Linked DNA regions of Coturnix japonica. The main gene of each other region encodes a partner of the protein of the gene in region 2 in a complex. Links are inferred from orthologs where the notes say so. Each region holds a gene or a part of one and is shown on either strand. Other genes may lie near its edges.

The links. Proteins that work in one complex are often made in the same cells at the same time.
Region 1: the proteins of SERPINC1 (region 2) and F9 are in contact, whole or in part, in a crystal structure (PDB 3KCG), measured with the Homo sapiens proteins. The link is inferred for Coturnix japonica from reciprocal best matches to the Homo sapiens genes SERPINC1 and F9. Residues at the interface, in NP_000479.1 of Homo sapiens: Glu264, Asn265, Arg267, Glu269, Met283, Met284, Tyr285, Glu287, Met347, Val349, His351, Val420, Val421, Ile422, Ala423, Gly424, Arg425, Ser426, Leu427, Asn428, Pro429, Asn430, Arg431; in NP_000124.1 of Homo sapiens: Lys247, Val248, Asp249, Ala250, Phe251, Cys252, His267, Cys268, Glu270, Glu285, Tyr312, Arg358, Phe360, Lys362, Gly363, Arg364, Ser365, Leu367, Lys387, Phe388, Asp405, Ser406, Cys407, Gln408, Gly409, Asp410, Ile429, Ser430, Trp431, Gly432.

Annotation. Positions count from the first base shown.
Region 1 is NC_029519.1:4,845,090-4,852,331, reverse strand, and holds the start of F9 (coagulation factor IX), read right to left. Parts: upstream 4,729-7,242; 5' UTR 4,669-4,728; coding exon 4,602-4,668; intron 2,530-4,601; coding exon 2,366-2,529; intron 2,057-2,365; coding exon 2,032-2,056; intron 1,196-2,031; exon of another isoform or gene 1,163-1,195; intron 337-1,162; coding exon 223-336; intron 1-222. UniProt on the Homo sapiens protein: Factor IX is a vitamin K-dependent plasma protein that participates in the intrinsic pathway of blood coagulation by converting factor X to its active form in the presence of Ca(2+) ions, phospholipids, and factor VIIIa.
Region 2 is NC_029523.1:4,510,474-4,517,472, forward strand, and holds the start of SERPINC1 (antithrombin-III), read right to left. Parts: upstream 4,556-6,999; 5' UTR 4,419-4,555; intron 2,170-4,418; 5' UTR 2,166-2,169; coding exon 1,791-2,165; intron 912-1,790; coding exon 696-911; intron 401-695; coding exon 263-400; intron 174-262; coding exon 1-173. UniProt on the Homo sapiens protein: Most important serine protease inhibitor in plasma that regulates the blood coagulation cascade. AT-III inhibits thrombin, matriptase-3/TMPRSS7, as well as factors IXa, Xa and XIa. Its inhibitory activity is greatly enhanced in the presence of heparin.

The sequences.
Region 1 (7,242 bases), on a different chromosome or scaffold from region 2:
GGGATGGCAGAGGAGGGAGATATCTGCTCCTAAACTCCGAAGCACATCCCCTCACGGTCCTGCTGCCTTCAGGCTAAATTAGCACATTCATGCGGTGTCTTACAACGAGGTGCAGTGTGTCTGAAACAGCCCTAGATTAGGATGAAAATCATTATGCCCACTGTGATCAGATGGGAATTCAAAGAAGGCAGAACAACTACAAGACACATCCCTTGTACGTACCTATCTCGCAGTTCCTGCCTCCATACCCAGGTGGGCACATGCACTCATAGGAGCTTACTCCGTCCTTGCAAGCGGCTCCATTTTTGCATGGATTGGAGTTACACTGATCTCCATCTTTGAGAGAAGACAGGAGAATTAATAAACACGAGTGTCTACCACGTCTGGTGGTGGCCAAGTGCTCTGTGCAAGCCTGCTGTTAAAGACAAGCAGGAGACTGCGTGCCTTCCATCTCTGAGATGGAAAACAAGTTCAGCTGTGGCACACAAGTGCACAACAGGCAACATCAGCTCTGGGGGAACATCATCAGCAGTGCTTAATCCAAAGGCCCAATTATCTACACTGTCTCCTATTGGATCAGTTCTGCTCTTTTAATCTCAATAACGTGATGTCTCAGCAGGTTCTGGGCATGTCTTCCTACAATTGTGTCCTACCTGTAAGCCTGGCCATTAATGATGCCTTGAAGAAAGCACTAGAATGCAGAAGGCAGCTTGCAAACAAGGTCAGAATGGGGTTGTCTTGCTTAAGGCATGATGCTGGTGTTGGCACAGATGGTTTGTATGGGATGGTGACTGCTGCTGCCACCTGGGGAAAGCAGGTGGGGTTTGGTCGTTCAGGTGTGAGGAATGAGCTCCCATAAGCTGAGCAGTAGGGCAGGTCAGTGATGATAGTGAATAGATGGTGTTCATGACTTTTTTTGGGGGGGGGCTAATTGTGTCTAGTGGCAGGGAAATAAATGCAGTGTTGAATTTCATCAGTTGGTTTTTGTAGTGGAAATGCTAAGTCACAGCCTGAACCAGTGATTGAACACCTGGTGATTGAGCCAGCCCAGGGGAGCTCAGGTGCAAGCAATGTACCTAAGTGACTGGAAGGGGTGGAGCCAGGATCCACCCCTCCCCAGACTTCATCTAGGGGTTGGCAGTGGAGGTGAGGGAATAGTAGTTGGGGATCTCTGCATACCTGAGGCCTTCTGAAGGTAAGCAGCTTCTTTCCTTTATTTCTGTGCCTATGGCTGTTGTGTTTGAGCAAATCCTTGCTTGCTGCAGCCTGGGACCTTGCTGCTCTGTTGTCATTGCTGTGCTTTCCATTGCATTACAGTTTTTTAGGGGGCAGTCCTATAATGCAGGACTGCATAACTTCCAAACAATCTGAATTATTTATGGCTTCTTAGTGTGATGTTCTGGGTGCTTTGCCAGTCTACAAAGCAGTTCAGTTATCAAAATGTACTTTAAAATTTGATTCAGATGTTTTTAGTGGGCATTAAAATGTTTTTGGTAAAATTGGAGTTGAAAGGGAGGAAATAGATGCTGGAAAATAAAACAGATGGTGGAGAAGCAAAGCTTTGGGACCACTGGTGTTTGCTGTGATTGTGTTGAGGGTCTGTTTATTGTGGCATTTCCAGGGATTCACACTGAGCCTGCACTGAATCTGGTAGTCTCTGCTTGAGAACAGAACGTTAACTACTTGGAGGGGTGTTACCTCTTACTGTCTTGCTCTGCTGTTGAAACCAGAAGGTGACCTGGGCTCACTGGATGCAGCAGTCTGTGTGAACTGTTATCTTCAGTGACATCTGTGCTGTTTGTTCCAACCCTCTCCCCTACTTCTATATAGAAGAGGCTAAGTAGTTTTTTTCCTTGTGTTTCTTATAAAGGTGGGATGGGCATAGGCTGAGCGACCACAGCGTTTAGGGTACATGACTCTGTGATGAAACAATTCCTAAATTCTGAGCAATATTTCTTTCCATAAGCATCTGCTGCTTATGCGCTGAGAGATGAATATTGTGTGTGTGAATGTGAAGAAAGCAGCTCTTACCAATGTATATTTTCCAGAATTCCATCTGCAAAGGGAAAAACAAACAAACAAACCTCCATTGGTTTCTGTTTTCTGGGCTTAAAGGGGTGGCTCCAAAGCTAAGAGCTTGAAGGGAAGCACCTCAGTAGTCCCAGTGGTGAGCACCCAACCCCTAATGAGGTTCCCCAGCCTGATAGATGGATTGTGAATGAGAACCAAAGGGTTGATGGGTGCCACGCAACCTCCCCAACCCCCCTTGCTCTTCAGTCCACCCCACTCTGTGCTTCACCCCAGCACTGTATACAGGTGATGCCCAGAGGAAAGGTTTTGGCTGTTTTGCATCAGGGATACTCACTGTTTTTTCTGTGTTCTCAAACACTTCTCGGGCTTCTTCGAAGCTGCATTTTTCTTCTATGCATTCTCTCTCGAGGTTCCCAGCAATAAACTCTTCCAGTCTGTTTGAATTGCCTCGCCTTGTCCTGCTCAGAACTGTGCTCGCCTCTTTGTTCTCAATGAAGACTGCAATTAGAAAAGAAAGCCAGGCTGCTGAATAGCCGTGGGGTGGGCAGTAGGGCTCTGCAGTCTCAATAGTCCTTCTCATGAGTTCATCATCCCCCATTGTCAGTGATGTTTTAGAAGCATTATTGCCTACTTGAGGTTTCTCTGGTGTCTAATTTAACTGCAATCTAGTTACTAACCTAAGCTGGGGAACCTGGAGTCAAAGCAGTCCATAGGTGAAATTGGCTGATGGCAGGAGGGTGATTAGGAGCACGGGAGTTTAGCAGGTGGTGTTAATACCTCTTATGATAGATGCCCAAACTGGAATAAGCTATTCAAGGAAGGAAAACCAAAGGCTGCTGCGTATTAGAGACGTCTTGTTTGAACACAGAAATTGAGGCAAAGTGGTGTGAGCACTGCTGGCCCTACATCCAAAGGGGGCACCCATGTTGCCACCAGCCTTTCAATGGTGGCCACTTGGTGATGTGGTGCTACCACATGTGCTCTCCCAGCCAGCACTGACCTTGCTCCCCAGGTTGGAAGAAGCATTTCTGTCTGTCTGTGCCAGGTGCAATGCTAATTGTTTTTGCAATGATTTTAATCACTATAAAGCAAGCTTGCACCTCTGCCTTCCTCATGCTTTCCATTAAAAAGAAGGGGAGTGCATTAAAATCCCGATGATAATCTAATTGTTTGGCAGTAGATATTGATGGTTGAAGAACTCTGGCTTGGTTTAAACACTGCAGTTCCCATGGGCTGCCTGATCCCTTCCCATCTGCAAGACTGGGGTTTATATATGGAATATGCAAGTCACTGGAGGAGTCCCTCTTCCCTCCAGCATGTGTCACAACATCTGGCATGAACTCAAGCTGGGCTGAAAAGCTTGAACTGAAGGAGATGAAGCAGCCTTTGTTGGTTTTGAGCCCTGTTGGGTTCTCCTTGAGGTTAGTGCCTGGGGAACCAGGCATGGGCACAGTTACGTGCCTCTGATTGTGGTTGCATTTCGTTAGGTCTGCTCCTTCATTTCTTAATGCTGGAAGCATGCTAGGCAATGGGCATAATTAACCCTTTTAATGAAGAGCTCTAATTTTAATGAAAACAAACTTCACCTTCATCAGACTCATTTCAGCTTTCTTGATGTCTACTAATCTCACGTGCTGCTTTATAGGCAGGACTTGATTTAAACTGAAAGTGGCAGAAACCCAAGGGGTCACACACAAGGTGCTTGCCCTGGCTGGAAATGATCTTCCCACCAAGTATATGCTCGTGTGGCTTAGCAACTTCTACATCAGCACTTGCAAGAGTGAGGGGATCTTTGGGCTGCAGATGAGACCCATCCTGCCACCTGAGTATTAAATGTTCTAGGAAATACACCTGGGTTGATGGTGACTCTGTTCACTTTCCATTGATAAGCAAACACTTTAGAAAAGCACTTTTTTCCTTGTTTTACCTGTTACTCTCAATGTTTTAATAAAAGAAGAAAGGCCTTGCACCAGCCAAGTTCTCACTGGAAGTGAACCAGCCTCTGCTGGAACTGTTGCTGCTACAGATCAATCATGCAGCAGCCAGCATTACTACGTGTGATTACCCACATCCATCAACTACTCTATCGTGTCTACAGTTTTGGCTGCATCTTACAGTCTGTTAAATGCATGCTGGGTTTGGCTTTAAACATTTCCCACTGTGGCAAGCCCAGTGACTGTTCTATGGGAGTGAGTGCTGTATTCCAGGAAAAAGCGAGACTGTGGATGTCACTCCTCCAGTGACATGTTTCCTCTTTTTCCTTTTGTGTGTGGGTGCGTGTGCTCTAAATGGCTGAATCGAGCACTGAAAGCTGTACAACTTCAAGAGAAATCCCATCCTTAAAATTAATCCCTGTGAAACTTTCTGTGTAAAAAATCAGCATAAAAGCAGAAGAAAGAGCCGGAGCTTCAAATAGAGGAGCTCTGAAATGCTGCGGTCCCACTGACCCCTTGTATCTCACGAGATAGCACAGGTTGTCCCACTGTGAACTGACAAATGGACCCTCTCTGTGTGCCAGTAACCCCCACCCCCATGAGCGAAGGACTTCATAGGTTTTAAAATGAACCCACCTGTACTTTCGGCACCGAGAAAAGCTTCCAGGAGACAAAAGGAGAGTATGAGGGGGATTTTTGCCATCTTCTTCCTACTGCCCAAACCTAGGAACAAATTGTTCAGGTGGTGGAGCTCGGTCAATAGTTCCAAAGTGCAAGCTCCTGTTTATTTGCTCTGGGTAACCCTTTAATTTAAGGTCCCCAGATGTGCCATTGCTGAGCCTTGGAGTGGCAGCAAGGATGTTATTTGAGAGGGCACATCCATGCTGAAGAAATGTATTGGGTAGCTGCTGCCTTTGGGGTCATCTGATGTCCTATAGGATGTTGCTGCTAGGTTTGCAGGTTGAGCAAGGCGCAAGAATACATTTAAGCCAGCTTCAGTAACCTCTTAAAAGCACTGGATTGCCCATTCCTATCCAGATGATTGCTGCATAAAATCCATAGCAGTGCTTTCAAAGCCTTCAGCAGAGCCCATGTTTCCAAGAGGGCCCAGCATAGATTCAGTTGGAGATGACCCTACAAGTGGTGCAGAGAGAGTGAGCAGACTTCTGGCTGCGGGTTTGCTAATTGCTCCTGTTTCAGACTGACCAAAAATAAGGTTTCTATACAAAATCTTTAATGCTTAAGGGTGTGTTACTTATAACTCTTAAATAATGTTTCTTCCCTTCTGACTTTCCATTAATGTGAAGGTGAGGGATTTCTTTGGGGCAAATACTGGGTACTGTGTAATAAATAAAAAATGAAGCATTAATTTCTAGAAAGGCTGAAATGAATGCACTCAAAGCTCTCCCCTCCTCTCTTTCCTTGAGGAGTTGTAGGGAAAGCAAACTGACATCATTCACCCCACTCTAGAGAGGGCTTGTGGGCTTTATACCAGTGACCTGCTTCTCTGATTGCAGCTTGTCCTATGCATAGTGCAGAGCTGGTGTCCAGCATCGCACCCGCACGTGATGGAGGCCAGCAGGCTCTAGAGACTTGTTAAAGCACAAGGGCTGAAGAGGAGCAGGCAGCAGCTCTCACTAGTTCCCAGTAAAGCAAGATTAATATTGTGCAGTTGTCAAAGCAAGATGGGTATTGTGCTGTTGTTGATGCAAGAGAATCCTATGGTGTGTTTTGCAGTGCAGACAGGCTGGCTGCTTTGATGGGAAGCAATGTGCTGTGCCGGATGTGCTGTGTCTTGCAGGCTGGAGAGCTCTCTGTTGCTCTGAGGCTACAGCAACCCTCGGGTAGTTGTTGCAGTGTGTGCTCAAGCTTGTGAAACATCAATTCTGTGCAGTCAAAAAATGTAGAAACGTTCCTTTGTGCAGCAAGTGTAAGGGACATTTATGGTTGCAAGGAGTTACTTTTGTATGCAGAAAGGAGCATCAGCTGTAGGTAAATAGAAGATGCTGATTTTGAGTTACAGCTCTGTGAGGTCTGTGCTGCCTAGGTAGAAAAAAATTCCTATGTTTTTCTTTCCTTGAGGAAACAAAAGGTCCCCAAACCAATAATTCATCTTGTTTCCTCTTGCTCCACTTGAAATGATCTTTATTCATCACTGACTGTAGCTTTTGTTATCAAATTTCTGTGGTGGATAAATGAGTTTGGATGAGGTAATGTGCTACTGATGTAAATTGAATGCAAAGTGAAGAAGGTAACGATCATCTCTCGCTTTCTGTGCATAAGAAAATGCAAATGGGAGAAAATAAATAGAGCTAAAATGCTGAAACAATACATCTCCTATCAATAAAGACGAGTGTAGAGCATGGCCTGCCATAACAAAGGATAATTGAAATCTCATTACTGCAAATATTTTGCTTCAGAACATAGGTCAGTCACATAACTTTTGGTTTATTGTGCATATTTCACGTGTAATACCATTCGCAACATTATGGCTAATTAATCTCCACAGAAAACACCAACATCATTAGAATAAACAAGGCTATTAACGCAAATAATTTCTATTGTTTGCTACTATTCCTGTCAACTTCTGCGGCGCCGAATTGAAAGCTAAGTGTTTATTTTTACTTATTTTGAAACCAAAATCCCTGGAGTTGCGATCGCCACCATGAGCGCTTTGGAGATGAAAGCTTTGTTGTCTAGGTGGATGACATCAATTAAGTACCTGATCTGGGTTTGTTTTGATTTGGTGTTCTGCGCTCTCAAGTGAAAAGCATTAAAAAAATGCACGGTCAAGCTGTGCTTCTTCCTATGAAGAGGCTTTCTATGAGATGTCCCTTCTGATTTGAGGCGTTAGATTTGGGGCTGTTTTTGTTTAAGATGGTGTTGCAGCAGGGGGAAGTTTGGGTTGGATGTTAGGAAAAACTTCTCGGAAAGAGGAGGGAGGCACTGACATAGGCTGCCCGACCCTTGGGGTGCTCTGCAGCTGTGGAGATGTGGCACTGAGGGATGTGCTTATGGACATGGTGGTTTGGGTTGGGGTTGGATTTGGGGGTCACTCCTTTCCAACCTTAACGTTTCTAAGATTCTACTCCCTAGGCTGTGAGGAGTCTGGGGTATTGGTACATTGCTACCTGTTTCTCCTCCTTTTGGGTCTCATTGGCTCGTTAGTTGTAAATCTTATTTTCTATGTCTGTGGTTGGAGTGAAAAATGCAGATTCCTTCTTGGAAGGAAACGTGAACTTCCTGACTTGAAGAACTGCCAACAAAAAATCGGTAG
Region 2 (6,999 bases):
GTGATGTCGTCCCCTTTGTAAGGCAGCTCCAGCACCTGAACTTTGTCCTGGATGAACGCATGGCGGAACCTGGCCTCCTGGTACATGATGGGGACTTTGCAGGTCTCACCGTTGGCTTTGTGAAATAAATCCAGTCTTGTATTTAGAGCTGGAAACTGCGACTTCCAGTGTCCCTGATGGGGAGATGGTGAGGGCAAAAGCAAACATGAGCAACATCGCTGCCCCTGGAAAACTGGCTGCTCTCCAGCTTTGTTAGCCATACCTTAAAATAAATGGTGTTGACCAGGACCAAGACGGTGAGATCATCGATACCTCTTTCTGGGATCACTTCTGTAATGCGCCTCTCCGTCTTATTGGCTACCCACTCATTTATGATCTGCCTGGAAAGCTCTGGCTTCTCCTGAAGGATGAGACCAAAATAGCTGAAGTCAAGGGTCATAAACACCTCTTTGTTTAGTGCCCACCTCCCCAGGGAGGACACTGCACAGTGCTGCAGTGTTTAGAAAGGAGAAGCCGGGAAGTGACTGTGGTTATGGAGCTGGGGCAGGAGCTGTGTCCCGTGCTTATGTCTGTCTTCACCAGCATTCCCTGTGCTGAGCATGGCATTCCCTGCAGCAGAGGATGGGGGTACAGCAGAAGCAGGACAGGGAGTTAGGAACAAACAAACCAGGAATCTCAAAGCAGTTCAAACTCACTTTGAAGTTCAACGGCCAGAGTTTGGCTCCATAAACTATTTCACTAATGTTCTGGTAAGTCTCATTGAAGACCAAGGATTTCTCTCCAAAGAGACGGTTTGCTGATATTAGCTCTGATGACTTGTTGGCTTTCTTGTAAAGACGGCAGTTGAGCTTGGCAAAGAAGAAGTGGACCTGGTCAGATGTCTTCTCTGAGATAGTGTCAAACTGGAACACCTGGAGGGGCCAAACAGCAAGAAGGAATCCATCAGCAAGCTCCTGTGCTCCCACAGCAAGTGGTGATGCAGGCCTTGCCCTCCACTCACCCCCTGAAGCACAGCCTTAGAATCACAGAATATCCCAGATTGGAAGGAACACATAAGGACCATTGGGATCAACTCCTGACTCCAATTAACATCACCCTGGCCTTTCCCCAGCGAGAGCCCTGCACCAAGTGGGCATGGCATTGATGGGACCAGATGCAGCTCTTGGGTCAGCGCAGGCTATGGCAGGACCTGTAGGGGTTTGCTCTAATCCTGTGAGAATGCCAAAGGCTGCTCCTTCCCAGGAGTAATTCTCATGGTCTGTTGAGTAATTCTGGTACTCATTATCTATTTTGGAGTATGTGGCAATTGCTTTGAGGGTGGATTTCAGCAGCACAGTGATTTATTTCTAATCTGTTCCTGGCTGTCAGCTGGAAGGACAGCTCCAATTTGTCAGCTCCTATCCATCTCAGGGCTTCAGGCACAGAAAAATCCCATAGCAAATTGCTCATGATCTGTGGCACCACTTCCTATGAGGGGCAAAAAGGGGTGTTAAGAGCCCTCATGCAGGGAAAAAGAGAGCATTAGGAGCACAGCTCATGGAGAGAAGTGTTCCCATCCCACAGTAGGGGCTGCCCACAGGGGAAGGTGTGCCTCAAGGTATTGCTGGCCCCTTGCTGAATGAGCTGAAACAGCCTCCCATGCCCCACCCTGGGGCTGTTTAAATAAAAGCATCCCCTCCTGTGCCTGCTGCCCTGACCAGGCAGCCCCCAGCAGCCGCTGGCACTGCCAGCTCCGCAGCCTTTCAGGCCCCAGTAGCAGCTCTGGGGAAGGCTGAGGATATGCCACTAACCTCCATGAGCTGCTGCAGGGTGTCACCGCACGCCCCGAGCTTGGTCATGGCGAAGGCTGTGGAAATGCTGAGGGGTGACAGGAAGATGTTCTCCTCGTTGTCCTTGGAATCGGCCAGGTGCTTGTAGAAGACGACGGCAAAGCGCGAGTTGGCCCTGGACAGCTCCCAGACACGGGGGTTGGTGGACCCCGGGATCCGGCCCTTCCCCGGCTCCAGCACCTCACTTTCCTGGGCCTTCTTCTCAGGGTTGCGGTAGATGCAGATGGGGTTCACTGGGATATCACGGGGCTTCGCAGTGCAAATGTCTTCCACAGCATAGCGTACAGGGGCAGCCATGCCCCAGAGGGCAAAGAGACACACAAGGAAGAGCTGCATTGTCCTGGAAACAGAGGGAGTGCTGAGTGTGCGCCCACCTGCCCGGAGAGCCCCCAGCCCAGCCAGCACTGGGGTATAGGGACCATCACAGCCCTCTCCCATCACCCTCCTGTAGTGCAGCTGTGGGATGGACCGGGACAGCCCCAGCAGAGCAGCACAGCTCTGAGCACACCCTGCTTTTAGAAACAGCACAATGAAAACAGTGCTTTCCCAGAGCCACGGGTGTCCTTTCTTTAAGCAGCCCTGACAAACTGGTGCAAAAACACATAGATCAAAGCTCTGATCACTCTATGGGGAAGCTGCCAAAGTCCGCTCTGCTCTGCAGTCACGTTTTTGCTTTGTACAGACCCTGCCCTGCTCTCTCTCCTGGGAAAGCACTCCATGCCCCAAGCCCTGCAGCGGAGAGCCCTCAGACAGTGCTTTAGATGGTTTCCTTCCCCTTTTCCTGGGGGAACCTCCTTCTCCAGTTCTGTTTCCTTCCTTCCCTTGAGCTCTTCTGCCATTTCAGTTTCCAGCTGTGATTTCAGGCCCACCTCAGCCTTGCCCTGTTCTAACTGCTGATGCAGGAAGCTCAAACAGGGGATGTAGATCCCCACCAGCCCCAGCAGCACATTACTGGCCACCCTAGGGCTGATCAGCACTGCAGCACAGAGATGCCCTCTGTGTGACTCCCAGTGGGTTTGCTCATGTCCCCATGGCTCCTCTGGGGGCAGGGAGGGTGTGAGACTCCATGTGCCCACCGCTGCTGTCACCTTGTGCTGCCCCATCAGTGCGGAAATGGAAGGTTTCTTTTAATGACCGCCAGAGCTGCCAGCATCCAGCAGGGCAGCACAGAGCAATGTGGGGAGCTCTGGGCTCTTTCACAACCCCCTGCCTGTACTCTTATGCAATGGCTGGATGATCTTTGAGGTCCCTTCCAACCCAGACCAGTCTGTGTCTTCATCTGGGCTGCAGCTCTTCCATGAAAGCAGAAATTACCTCATTTGGCACCAGGGCTGTACTGAGCCTGGGGGCCTTCACCAGCACAAACTGTTAGTGCAGCAGCAAGCACTGCAAGAGGACGTGTACAACAAGATGTTTTTGCTCAGAACACAGCCAGTCTGAGTGGTAAAAGCAAACACACTGTTGCAAGAAGGTGAAGGACAGATGCATGGAACAGCTGCAGCACCACAGAAGGCAAAGCCTGAAAGGGGTGGGAAGTCAAACAGACTGACCCTGAAAGCACCACAGCAGGCAGGAGGAAGGGAAGTGGGAGCACTGCAGGAAGCACCACTCTTCCCAATACCAGCTCCTGCAGGAGGGTCACCGGGCTCTCAGCCCCATCCTGCTGCACTGCACGCCCTGCGGTTGGTTGCTGAGCATCCCACAGCCCGTCCCAGCTTCAGATTTCATCCGTTTAGAGGGGATGTGGGATTTTATGCTCTTAGCCCCTTCAATCTGATATATCAGCTCCCTGGGGCCAACCCAGCCCCCCAGCATACCCAGCACAAGCACACAGCAGAAGGGGAACACAAGACCCACAGGGCTGCATGCCATACCGCTGGCTGGGAGCTGCCCTGCTCCCCCAGCAGCTCCTGGGGCCTCCCTTTCATACTGTCCACACCACACATCAGCTGGAGGGAGCCCAAAAGCATTACAGCAAATGGCTGCCTGGGAAGGGTTACTGGCAGGGAAGAGAACACTAAGGGGGAAGGGCTTGGCTGTCCTGCTTCAGTCACCCCTGTGAGAAGCACAGAAAACTAAGGAACAAGTTGCTGATTCAGCTAAAAACCAGAGGGCTCCATGCAAATGTGGGGACTCCTAATCCCACAGCCAGGCTGTGGCCAGCACAGCCCGTGTGCCCCCACTGCTTTGCGTTCGTCCTGCAACAAAGGCTGCATTCACCCCTGCTATCTGTGCATCTCTGCTGCACTCCTCTGGGCCCAGCAGCTCAATGTGATTAGGATGGACAGAAAACCCTTCCTGCTCCCCCCCCCCCAGACCAGTGCTGTTCCTACATGGGACAGGGGGGTTGGTGCTCACCACAGCATGAAGCAATGCCACAAAGAAATGAGGTGAAGCACAGCCCATCAGTGAGCTGGGCACAAATTGCTCCCTGATGGGAACTGTGATGTTTTAAGCTCCCCATGCTGTGAGCAGAAGCCCCAGATCAAGAGGAGCTGCAGTCTGGTAGCAGCCTGAATTCCTTCAACAGGCAAATGGAGCAGTGGGTTCAGTTAAAAATGAAGCATTAGTGGAAATAGTTTCTCTTACCCAGCCTGGTGCCTCCAGCCTCCTGTGTTCTGGATGCAAATGCAGATTCCCCAGGAGGACAGGAGTGCTCAAGACCCACACACACAGAGCAGCTCCACACTGGGCTCCCGTGCTCCAGCAGCAGGCAGGTTGGGGGCAGGATGCTGGGGCCAAAGGCTGATGACCGCTGCAGAAGGTTAAACAAAGAGCAGGAAAACAAAAAAGCAATGTTTGGCTTGAAAGAGGTTTTAAAGTTCAATCTGACAAGGGAAAGTTTGACCACCTACCCCTTAGAAACGCTGGGTGCCTTCCTTCTTTGCCAATAAAATAATTAGCCACTCATGAAAAAGCTCAGGAGCAGCACTTGTGGTCCTTGGCTGCAGAGGAGGGCCTGCAAAGCAGGGCTGGGTTACAGCCCACGGCCATAAGTACCACCTGAAAACTGGCTGTGCCCAACACATCAGTCTTGCACATGTTGTTCTTGCTCTCACCCATCCTACAGCAGGGCTGTCTTTGGACAAAGTGAGCACAGAAGTCACACTGTGACCTCCGAGCAGCACCCAGCAATGCAAAGCAGCCAAGAACTGCAGGAGGGCATAGGAGGTGAGCTGTGTGCTGCAAGGAAGGGCTCAGCTGCGCTGCTCACTGTGCTCCCAGCAGTGCTGGTGTAATCGCCGAGGTGAGACGTGCTCACAGCCCTGGGACCTTCAGAAGGAATCAGATGCTCTCTGCTCCCAGCCAAGTGTGCTGTATCCAAGCAGGGGCTCTTCATCTGGTGCTGCGGGGCAGCTCGATGCCACATGGAATGGGAGCAGGCACCCACTGTGTTCTGCACATCCCACACAGCTCAAGCTGTGGGAATTAAGTCTCAGCAGTGTGATGAGGCACAGCAGCACTGCAGCTCACTGCAAGCAGGCAGAATGCCTAGAACAGAGCATGGGAACACCTCCTTTACCATGATAGCCCTATTAAAGGCAAGGCTAATTGCAAAATGAAAGAAGATGGCAAGCTGGGGACTTCCTCTAAGTATTTATTCCCAAACCCAGCGTAGCGCCAAAGGGACCCATCAGCTGCCCAAACCAAACCCCATGGGAGAGCTGATAAATACCTATCTTAAGTGCAGTAGGTAAGTGGCAATTTATTGCTGGTCCAGATCAAACCAACAACCCAGAGCTGATGGCTGGGCAGAGCCATCCCTGAGGAGGCCAGAGGAAAAAAAATGGCAGGTTTCCCCAAACTCCCCATTCGGCTCCTTCAGCCAGACTGCAGCAATTCACATCTCTTTTAGCAGCCAACCTTGACAGAAGTTCAAGTTGGTTTTAAGTGTAGCTGAGCATCCTGGAGCCCTCACACCAGTGCAGAAAATGGGAATGGAAACCATTGCCTGCAGAAACACCCAGTTTCCACACGATTGCTCACCAAATACAACTCTCTTTATAGGAACTGAATATCTCAAGTGACCCAGTGAGAGAGGCCAGCTGTGTGACTGCCCTAAAGGCAGAGGGGACAGCATTTGGTGCTCACCGCATGCTGGACCTCCAGTCAATTAGCAAAATGCATTATTTTGAGCATCCTTTCTTGTTGGAAGGAGCAGCCTAGCTTGCAGGCAGGCAGAGAACAGACAGCCCATAGAAGCAGCCACTTCTCTGCTGCTCAGCATCTCCCATGCCCCAGCCCCAAGGAGAACCCACACACCATCAGAACATTGCACCCAGAGTTCAAAGAAATGCACATTCATCCGAGACAGAAAATGAGAGATATTTCAGTGTTCTCCATTACTTTATCATTTAATATAAATGCTGACAGAAAAGCAGATAAGACCTTGTAGACACTTCCATCTATTTACAGACCAAGTAGTGAATCACCATCTTTCCACCGGTTCAAGAGTTTGTTGGATCTGCAACTCAAAGGACTCTCAGACACTGTGTGGAAGCAAGGTGAGGCCAAGCCAGCTTGAACAGGGAGAAAAGCAAAGTGAAGAAGAGGAAAGGAAACAGCATTTCAACATATGGCTTTTTTTATGTCACCATCATGCACACACAATAGGTCTCCGCTTCCTTGCTCTTTAATACAAGTGACACTGTTGGCTCTGTAATTTAAGGAAGAAACAAATACTGACTTTCAGACCTCTGGACCTTCCTTGCCTTTTGCCTCCTTCAGCCTGCTCTGTCCTACTACAGCATAATGCCTGGCGGGCTGTTCTTCCCACTATAACAAGTCTATTGCAGGAGTAAAGACAGACACAGTGACCTCTTCTACTCCTTTAGTCATCTGGGTTTTCCCAAAAGGCAGCAAAGCATCTAATGTTTCAAGGAGAGGTATCACGGTGCCTTGCAGGCCCAGTGTGTGTACAAGGCTTCCAGCTTCCCCTGAACTTGCAAAGAATTCACTTTATGGAATTCTTCTCATATGCTCTACTCCATCTCTACTCCTATTGAAAGCGTTCCGACAGTTACACACAACACATAGTCACAAAACCACTCCAACAGCCAGCCAGCCACATAAGGCTTCAGAACTATTATTTCTTCGATGGGGAAGCAAAGCAGGAAAGGAAGAAAAACAGGGGGAGAAGAAAAGCAAGAAAAGAACCAGCTTGACAAAT